2 linked regions of the Cricetulus griseus genome follow. The protein of the gene in region 1 purifies or fractionates together with the protein of each later gene. This does not show direct contact. Links are inferred from orthologs where the notes say so. Each region holds a gene or a part of one and is shown on either strand. Other genes may lie near its edges.

Region 1 (5,024 bases):
TGTGAAAACTGTCCTGGAAATGCCACACTCACCTAATTATACTCAGGCATGGAAGGACCCTGACAGAAACTCACAATGGTTATGCTTTTAACAGTGTTGTCCCCAACTCAGGGCAAAGCCTGAGAGCCTGTCCAACTCATCCATTTCTAGGACTGTGATTTCACATTTCCAAATCCATAAGGAAGGGCAGCAAGCCCATGGGTGCTCACCTGCCCTCTTGGCACTGAGAGAGCCATCCCGGTGGATAACAACGTCAGCACTGCTCATCATCAGGAGGCTCTGGCCGGACAAGATGCTCCCCAACAGGTCAGGAACTGGGGCCTCCTCCACGCTGGGCTCTGGGGCCACAGCAGGGAGCTGCCTCCTATAGACACAGACCAGAGAGTGGTTCTGCTAGCTTAGTCTCTCTGCATTCCTCTGGCTGGAATTCCTACCCACCAGCCCCGACACGAAGGCACCAGGTGTGTGCCAAAGTCACCTATAATGTATGTCGCCCACTCTACCACTAAGCAAGAGTGGGCAGGAGAGTATCTCCACCTGTTGGTAACCAAGACTCCTGTCCTGCCCAAGGACCCCTTCTCTCTCAGAGACTGCGGCCAATGTGGCCTGTAGCTGTGCTACTTGACTCTGAGACAACTAGCTTTGAGGTAGCACCCAGAGCCAACCTCAAACACATCCGCAAGAGGAGTTGCTCAGCCACTTCACTACAGGGCACACAGAAAGGATAAGCAATTCAGTGTCCTTACCCACCCCAGATGCTTCTGCTGCCCCATACCATACCTAGAGAGCCCCATGGCGACAGGTCTGGCCACAGGCTGGTGAGACTGCAGGGCTGAGCGGGACAGCACTCTCCTCTTAGCACTTAGAGGGGAAGGTGGATCTACAGATGGTTCCTCGTTGCTGGAGGGAACACTGACAAAACAGACCATTCTATCAGTTCCCATGCAGCCTAAACAAATCGGAGGATGAGCTGGGACACTGGGAGTCACCACTGCAGTTACCTGTCAAAGGGGTCCAGCTCATAGGGATCTCCAAACAGAGACAGAGAAGCTGCTCCAATATCTGCCCTCATCAGCCCCAGAGTGGGGTCCACTGGCTTGTACACTGAGGGCATGCTGGTGCCATGGACAGGCCTGCGGAGGCCTAGTGTTCGTGCGATGCGAGAACGAGATGTGACTTCATTCTAAATTAAAGTGACAGATAAAATTTCAATAAATGACTGGCATCCTGCACATGAACAGCCACACAAGAACAGTTGTGAACTTTTAACAGTATCACAACAGTAAACTATTCCTAAGACAATCAAGGGGCCACATGCCACTTCCCCTAGATTCTGAGCTTGGGTGGAACAGAACACCACCTTCAGCTAGGACTTCTCCCCAAGGAGTGATTCTTTCCATACCTCTACCTTGGGCATGGCCCCAGATGTTCTATTAGGGGAGAAAAAGGAATCACAGTAATTGCAGATGAAGAACGTGAGCTCAGGATGGAATCTACAACATTCTAGAATTTCCTAAAAATTAGGAAGAAAGCACCGACATTGCCAGGCCCTCACCTCAGGACACAAAGTGAGGGCTAGTGACCAACACTATCTACTTAACTTTCTCCTATTTAGTCACAGCCACAAGAATCTGTTCTGACTCTTCAGAACACATGTTCAGCTGGGCGGTGGTGGCGCACACCTTTAATCCCAGCACTCAGGAGGCAGAGGCAGGTGGATCTGTGAGTTCGAGACCAGCCTGGCCTACAATAGCTAGTTCCAGGATAGGCTCCAAAGCCACAGAGAAACCCTGTCTGGAAAACAAAACAAAAACAGAACACATGTTCAAACTACTGTCTATGCATGTCTTTATATACAACCATACTCTACAGAACATTTATCAGGCAATGGGCTAACAAGCATAAATTCACATAAAAACACAGGAAACACATGGCTAAGGGTTTTTTTTTTTTTTTTTCCTCAGCTTCCTGTGTCTTTACCAAATTTGTCTCATGGCAGCAGGGCTGAGTGAGGACACAGCAACTGAAATAAGTCCAGGCTATGTGCTCTGAGGACTTCAACTCAGTCTGTCCACACCTGCCCCTAGAATAGGAGTGAGAGCTTTTTGATCTCACCAGCGAGGAACTACTAGGTGACTCGGCCCTTGAGCTTTGCAGTCTTCCCTCTCTGCCTCTATATTTCAGGGGTCATCATATATAACTTTTCTTTTTGCGGGGTGGGGTGGGTGGGTGGGGTGGGGTGGGTGGGGTGTGTGTGTGTGTGTGTGTGTGTGTGTGTGTGTGTTCCAAGACAGGGTTTCTCTTGTGTATCCTTGGAACCTGTCCTGGAACTCCTTGAATTCACAGAAACCCACCTGCCTCTGCCTCCTGAATACTGGGATTAAAGGCATGAGCTTCCAGCCATCATACACAACTCCCCACCCCAAAGGACCTAGAAACATACCCACCCACCTCTGAACTGTTCCACAGAGCAACAGAAAAACAGCCATTCTGTTGCTTCCTGCTGCAGAGCCATATAGGGGAGCTAGACTGTTAAACTGGACACTACTGAAATAGCCCACCTTCAGCTTCCTCCCTTTTGTCTTCCTCACACGGTGCTGCCGTTTCTTAGCTCTTGTACCCCCACTCTTACTTTTCACAGATGACCTGGACCGGATTTTCTTTCTTCCCAGGACTTTCTTCCGTTTCCCTAAAAAGACAACATTCAATGTCTATGATTCAGTATCTGCAGGGCCCTTCCTGACCAGGTAAGCAGGTCCTCCAGGTCTGGTGGGGGAAAGCCCAGTAAGCTAGGGAGAGGATCTGGGCACCTCAGGATTGTGTGCTGGCTTGAATTTTACATACAATACACAGTGTGTGTGTGTGTGTGTGTTCACACATGTGTGCACACAATGTAGGTGACCACGAAGGAGTAAAGTGGGCCTTAGAACCCCTGGAACTGGAGTTATAGTTAGCTATGAGCTGTCCAATGTGGGTACTGGGAACTGAACTCAGGTCCTTTTGGACAGTAACAAGCACTTCTCTTCAGTTGAGCCATTTCTTAGCGCCCCGATTTTACAGATAACCTTGAATTCTTAATCTTCCTACCACCGCTTCACAAGTACTATATGTGTGGCTCTCTATTTTTAACTTAAATTTATTTACTGTTTTCTTTCAAAGACTTCTTTTCCTTTCTTTTAAGATTTTAAATTAATTTATTTTTATTTTATGTGCATTGTTGTTTTACCTGAGAGTATGTCTGTGTGAGGGTATTGGGTCTCCTGAAAATGGAGTTATAGAAAGTTGTGAGCTGCCATGTGGGTCTGGAATTAAACCCAAGTTCTCTGGAAGAACAGTCAGTGACCTTAACTGCAAAGCCACCTCTCCAGTCCCTAGTTACTTTTGCATTAACAATTATCTCAGCCTGTAGCTGGTCTGGAATTCATGGCAATTCTTCTACCTAGCTTCTCAATGTCGGTACATGCCTTGCTTAAAAAAAGTTATTTTGGAAGATTCTCTTCATTTTATGTATGTCCATCTGCTTTGTCTGCATGTGCACAGATGCGTGTGATACCCAGGCACTCAGAAGACGGCGTTGGATCCCTAGAACTGGAGTAACAGGCAGTTATGAGCAGTCATGTGAATTCTGGGAACCAATCTCAGATCTCCTGCAAAGCAACAAGGGCTCTTTCTTAACTTTACTCAGCCATCTTCCCAGCACCCTTGTCTTGTTAGGTTTTCTATTGCTGTGAAGAAACACCATGACCATGGTAACTATTACAAAGGAAAACATTAAAATTGAGGAGGCAGCTTACAGTCTGAGAGGTTTAGTCCATTATCATCATGGCAGGAAGTATGGTTGTGTGCAGGCAGACATGGTGCTGGCTACACCTTGATCAGAAGGCAACAGGAAGTGGACTGTTTCACTGGGAGTAGCTTGAGCATAGGAGACCTCAAAGCTCAAACCCCATAGTGACACACTTCCTCCAACAAGACCACACCTTCTCCAGCAAGGCCACACCTCCTAATAGTGCCACTCCCTTTGGGGACCATTTTCCTTCAAACACAACCCCCCCCCACCTTTAAAATTTTATTTGTTCATGTGTTATAGAAGTCAGAGGACAATTTGAAGGAATTGGTTCTTTCTTTCTACCATGTGGGATCTGGAGATTAAAATCAGGCTTGTTAGCTAGCATCTCTATCTGCTACCATTTTTTGCGACATGTTCTTACTGTGCAGTGTAAAATGACCTTGAACTCTTAATCCTCCTGCCTTCACCTGCAGAACACTAGAATTACAGACATGTACCAACTTGTTTGCAGCCTGGGCTACAAGCACTGACTTGGCTTGGATCCTCTCCCCGCCCCTCCCCCACAGGTTTCTCTGTGTAGCTTTGGAGGCTGTCCTAGAACTCAGAGAGATGTGCCTGGCTCTGCTTCCCAGTGCTAGGATTGAAGGCTTGGATTTTTAATCAGATAAATAAACCGGTAACATTTTAAAGTAATGTGCTCCTGGGGGGAGGAGGATCCAAATAACAAGGATGGGTTCCATTACTCTGAGTAGACCAGACTTTTAGAACCATCATATAAATTACATAAATCCAAAAAAACCCATGGTAACCAAGTGCTGAAGACAACAATGACTACATTCATGGTCCAAACAGAGAGTACCCCTAGAGACTGGAAGACAAGCGCTCTGGACATTTCTGCAGGCACAGTCTCTAAAAACAGAAGTTAATTGTTAAAAGACTTATGCTTTAGTCTAAACCCAACCTCCAAGGTGCTCCTGTGATTCTTCATTCTAGGATTCTGATAAGCTAGGACTTAGTTCACCAGGATGTGGCAGAGTATGAAGGGAATACCACGTAATTGGAAACACCTTCATTTTTGAGCTGGTAAATAAGGAAAGGCCGCTTGGTCCTGATACCCCTGCAAACTACACTGCTACATATGAGAGCAGATCCAGGGCAGTTAGTTATCTTCCCCAGAAACCCCCAGTAAGCAGAGAACATAGTACCCCTTCTCCCCTGGTTGCTCTTTCTATGG
Region 2 (5,024 bases), about 110 Mb from region 1:
ACAGCCCATGTGGGAAGGTCGGAAGACAACTTGCAGGTGTTTGTTCTCTCCACCATATTGGTTCTTGTTACTAAACTTAGTTTAGTAGGCTTGACAGCCTTTACCAGCTGAGTCTTTTGGTGGCTTTTTGGGGTGGCGGGGTGCGGTGACTTAGTTACAGAGTAATTGCAGAGAGGCTGAGGATGGAACTTAGTAGTAGATGTTTGCCTAATGTGTATAAGGCTCTCTCAAAAGTCAGAGCTAGAGGTCAGATGTCAAAAGTCAGAGCTAGAGGTCAGATGGATATGAGAAACTTAATCAATGAGTGTCTAACTATCCTTGACTGATGGATCATCCTTCCTGCATTCAGATGTATGATTACAGCTTAGACATGTGGAGCTTGGGCTGCATGTTAGCGAGCATGATATTCCGAAAGGAGCCATTCTTCCATGGGCAGGACAACTATGACCAGGTGAGCAGATTCATCCCTTGCTTGTTTGTCATGAATGTTAGGGAAATAGCCTCTGGGGACTGTGTAAGCTAAAGGATTGTTCAGAATTGTATGAGTGAGCATGAGGGCCCCAAGCATGCCGAGACAGACAATGCTGCCTAGTGAACTTTCAAGATGGGTCTAAGAAGTAAGGCACTTCTTTATCTAACAAAATCACATTATAGTTATTTGATCAGTGTCCCCAAAGATGTTAGCATCTAAGTTATATCAACCCTTTAAAAGCAGTTTAGGGGGCTGGAGAGATGGCTCAGAGGTTAAGAGCACTGACTGATCTTCCAGAGGTCCTGAGTTCAATTTCCAGCAACCACATGGTGGCTCACAACCATCGGTTATGAGATCTGGTGCCCTCTTCTGGCCTGCAGGGATATATGCAGGCTGAACACTATATACATAATAATTTTTTTTTTTTTTTTTAAAGCAGTTTAGAAACTTGCATTCATGTGAGTGTTGTGTTCTTAAGTCTCTGTTTATCCTAGACTCGGGTCTCTGTTAAGTCATTTGGGATTTGAGTGGCATGGGATTTCCTGATTCCCAGGCCTAGCACAGTGTCCACAAAAGCTCACAGAAAGCACTGTGCTTGGTGGTTGGGTCAGTTTTGTTCTGTGTTTCAGCTTGTTCGAATTGCCAAGGTTCTGGGGACAGATGAGCTGTATGGATATCTGAAGAAGTACCACATAGACCTAGATCCACACTTCAATGATATCTTGGGACAGTAAGTAAGAAAGGAGAGGGAGGGAGGGAGAGAAGGAGAAAGGAAAGAAGGAAGCACTTTGCTCTACTTCAGAAGTGGTAAAGTTAGACAACATCCAGTTTCCCTTTTCTAACTTCAATATTGATATTTATTTACTTATTTATTGAATGAACCAGGGTCTCAGTGGCTATGTAGATCAGGGCTAGTTTTGAACTCACCGGGATCTACCTGCCTTGGCCTCCCAAATGGTACGACTCCTATTTATCAGTAGAAAATGGAAAATAAGCCTTGTGTAGATATGCATGTTTCTAATCACAACACTTGGGAGGCTGCAGCAGGAGAATCAAGAGTTTGATCCTGTGGAAGCAAATGGAAAATAAAGTCATAATGTTATAGAAAAAATGTTTATTTGGTCAAAGCTTGTGCTTTTTCAAAAGAAATTATTTCTTCTTGTTTTATATGTAAGCCTGTTTTACCTGTGTGCACATAATGTACTGTGTGTGTATGCTTAGCCAGAAAAGGGGTCCTCTGGAAGTAGAGTTACAGATAGTTAATAGCTACCATGTGGGTGCTGGGAACTGAACCTGGGTTCACTGGGAAAGCAGCCAGTGCTCTTAACTACTGAGCCATCTCCCTAGCCCTGCATATGCTTATTTTGATGGCAAATCTTAGAAAACGAGGCTTCTTCAAATAAGTGAATAGCTTATTTTCTGAAGTTTTATAATAAATATTAAGGCATGCTAAATTTTCAGGTACAGTACCTAGTTTCGTGACTTAGGTATTTTGGGGTGGGGATGGTCTTATTTGTTTGCTGTGTAGCCTCCTGGCCTCAACCTGAGTGCTCAATTATAGGTGTGTGCCACCATGTCCAGCCTCAGTGCAGTGTGTTAAAAGTAAATGTTTGGCTAGTGGTCTTCAGGCATTATTTTATGAAATTGCTTGTTTCTAAAGCCAACCTTCTAAATATATCTACTGACCAGTGCATCACTTAGTCACCGCCAGGCCTTACTCACGGTTGATTAAAAGACAGGCATAAGAGTAATCCAGAAAGATTGAACAATTCTCCCTCAGATATAGATATTTTCAATAGATTCTGCTCATCTAATAATTGAGCAGTTTTATGTCATGGTTATAACTGTGGGTGACAGTGTGTGTATACTAGCCCATTTGAAGTGGGCACCGATAAGAATGAGCTTCAGCTGTTGCACGAAGTGCAGTATTCTAAGGGTTTGTTTATGTTATGTCTATTAAAGGAGGGTTTATCTGGTTGTTTAGTCTCAGAATACTAATATTCACTTTGTTTGTTTTTGTTTTTTAGACATTCACGGAAGCGCTGGGAAAACTTTATCCATAGTGAAAACAGACACCTTGTCAGTCCTGAGGCCCTAGATCTTCTTGACAAGCTCCTGCGGTACGACCATCAACAGAGACTGACTGCCAAAGAGGCCATGGAGCACCCGTACTTCTGTGAGTTATTAAATGGCAAAAGATGTCACCTTTATCTTTGGGGTCAGACAGAAAACTAGGTATTTGGATTTAGATCAGCCTAGGAATTTGGCTTTAAATTTTATTCATTTTACTGGACCACTGAGGCCATTTTATGGGTGATTTGATTAGTTCTCGAAGGTGTTTGCTGTTCAATGTTAGTAGTACCTCTGAGGCCAGGCTGTATAACCCACTGTCATCACCCTGGGCTTGTATACTGAAAGGTATCTAAGATTTTTTTTTCAAGTGCAAAAACCTAATCAAAGATTATTTTTTCTCTTTTAAAAAAAATTTAGGGGGGGTGGAGGAGGAGGGATGGGGGTGAGGGAAAGGGAGAAGGGATTGACATATGAAACAAGCTTGTTTCTAATTTGAACCAATTAATAATAATAATAATAATAATAATAATAATAATAATATTTAGTTAAAAGTAGTAAGATCAGGTCGGGTGGTGGTGGCAGCACACACCTTTAATCCCAGCACTCAGGAGGCAGAGGCAGGCAGATCTCTGTGATTTTGAGGCCAGACTGGTCTACAGAGTGAGTTCCGGGACAGCCAGGGCTACACAGAGAAACCCTGTCTTGAAAAACAAAACAAAGTAGTAAGATCATTGCTTTTTTAATGTGATTCTAAAGGAAGCAACATGTAAGCAAGAGGAATTGCAGGTAAGCAGGTAGCAGGTATGGCAGCTGGATTCTGACCTGTGACATCTCTCGGAGCATATGTGTTCCTTCTGCACTTGCTTGTGTTTTGGGTCCATGTAGTGTTCTTCCCACTGAAAGTCTCCTAGACACATCACCCTTGTCATTGACAGAAGAGGGTGGCTTAGTCTAGTCATGGAAGAAGTTGAATGTGACTTATCTTCATTTCTGTTCCTTAAAGTTTTTGTCTGTTGTTTGACCACTTTTTCCTTTGGAGTTTACTAATTCCCAGTAATATTAACAGATAGGAAGGACTTATTGCCATGATCTTAAACTTTAGGCAGAAGTTTAAGGCAACAAAAAAATGTAAAGGGTCTTCTCATTTAGCCTTCTGGACCCTAAACAGCTGACATTCCATTGTTTGCTTTCTAATTTCCAACACAGAAAGCTGCTTTTATCCTTCAAGATAGGCCACTTTAGGATATTGGTGTTGCCCTGAGTGGTGGTCCACTCCTTTAAACCAAGTACTCAGAGGCAAAGTTAGTCAGATCTTTGTGAGTCTAAGGCCAGCTTGGGATACATAGTAAGACTGTATCTTAAAAACAACAACAACAACAAACAAACAAACAAAATAGCCAGGCGGTGGTGATGCATACCTTTAATTCCAGGATTGGGAAGGCAGAGGCAAGTGGATCCCTGAGTTCAAATTGTCCAGCCTGAACTACAGAGTGAGTTCCATGATAGCCTAGGCTACACAGAGAAACCCTGTCTCAAAAAACAAGCAAGCAAGCTAGCAAACAAACAAAACCAAAATAAAAAGCAGTACTGGTGTAAACTCATGAGGCAAATGTGTAAGGATTGCAAATTTAAGACCATCTAAGGTATATAGTTAGGCCCTGCCTCAGGAATAATAATAAAAACAACCTGATAGATATTTTAGATAATCATTGTTTGTTTACTTCCCTAAATAAACTCCATATTTCACTGCTGCTTAAAATGGCTGGGGTTTTGTTTGTTTGTTTTCTTTTTTCTTGGGGGGGGGGCGTGTCCCAGACAGGGTTTCTCTATGGCTTCGGAGGCTGTCCTGAAACTAGTTCTTGTAGATCCGCCTGCCTCTGCCTCCCAAGTGCTGGAACTAAAGGCCTGCGCCACCACCTCCCAGTTGTCAATGGCTTTTTTATTCACCCTTGTTTATGACATGCTAGGTATGATGTTGGTACTCAGAAATCACCAGAAATATTGTGAATTTTGAACAGTGGTGAGTTGGGGTCTCTGCTTTTTAGCAGTAGGGTCTGTATTCTAAGGAAGTAGAAAAAAATCAACTCTATATAATTCCTCAGTGGGCATGAGGGCCACCCTGGCCTATGCTGGAGGCTAAGGCTAAAGAAGAATGAGAGTTCAGTGCTAGTCTGAGCAACAAAAAAAATTTTCAGAAGGAGTTGAGGATGTGACTTAGTTGATTGCCTAGCATGTGTGAGACTGGGTTCTATTCCCTGCCTTGAGGGCAAAAAGAAAAGGAGTTCTTTCCTGGTCATGTCTTGGTGCCTGGTTCTTGTGTGGCCTGAGTTCCATGTAAGTGTCTGTCTTGGTGCATATAGAAGAGGAAAGGCAGGTTAGCCATGGCATTCCCACTACACCCTCAGTGCTGGTGCTGACATGGAGACCTGTGCTCCTCCTCTCTTGCAGACCCTGTGGTGAAGGAGCAGTCCCAGCCTTG

What was found.
Region 2: the proteins of Phrf1 (region 1) and Csnk2a2 purify together in Homo sapiens (affinity purification with mass spectrometry; 3 studies listed by BioGRID and IntAct, counting the BioPlex papers as one, with this or other methods). This does not show direct contact. The link is inferred for Cricetulus griseus from reciprocal best matches to the Homo sapiens genes PHRF1 and CSNK2A2.

The regions. Positions count from the first base shown.
Region 1 is NC_048596.1:59,929,872-59,934,895, forward strand, and holds part of Phrf1 (PHD and RING finger domain-containing protein 1), read right to left. Parts: intron 2,690-5,024; coding exon 2,562-2,689; intron 1,184-2,561; coding exon 1,002-1,183; intron 913-1,001; coding exon 781-912; intron 365-780; coding exon 210-364; intron 1-209.
Region 2 is NC_048596.1:171,639,855-171,644,878, reverse strand, and holds part of Csnk2a2 (casein kinase II subunit alpha'), read left to right. Parts: intron 1-349; coding exon 350-451; intron 452-1,101; coding exon 1,102-1,202; intron 1,203-2,499; coding exon 2,500-2,648; intron 2,649-4,993; coding exon 4,994-5,024.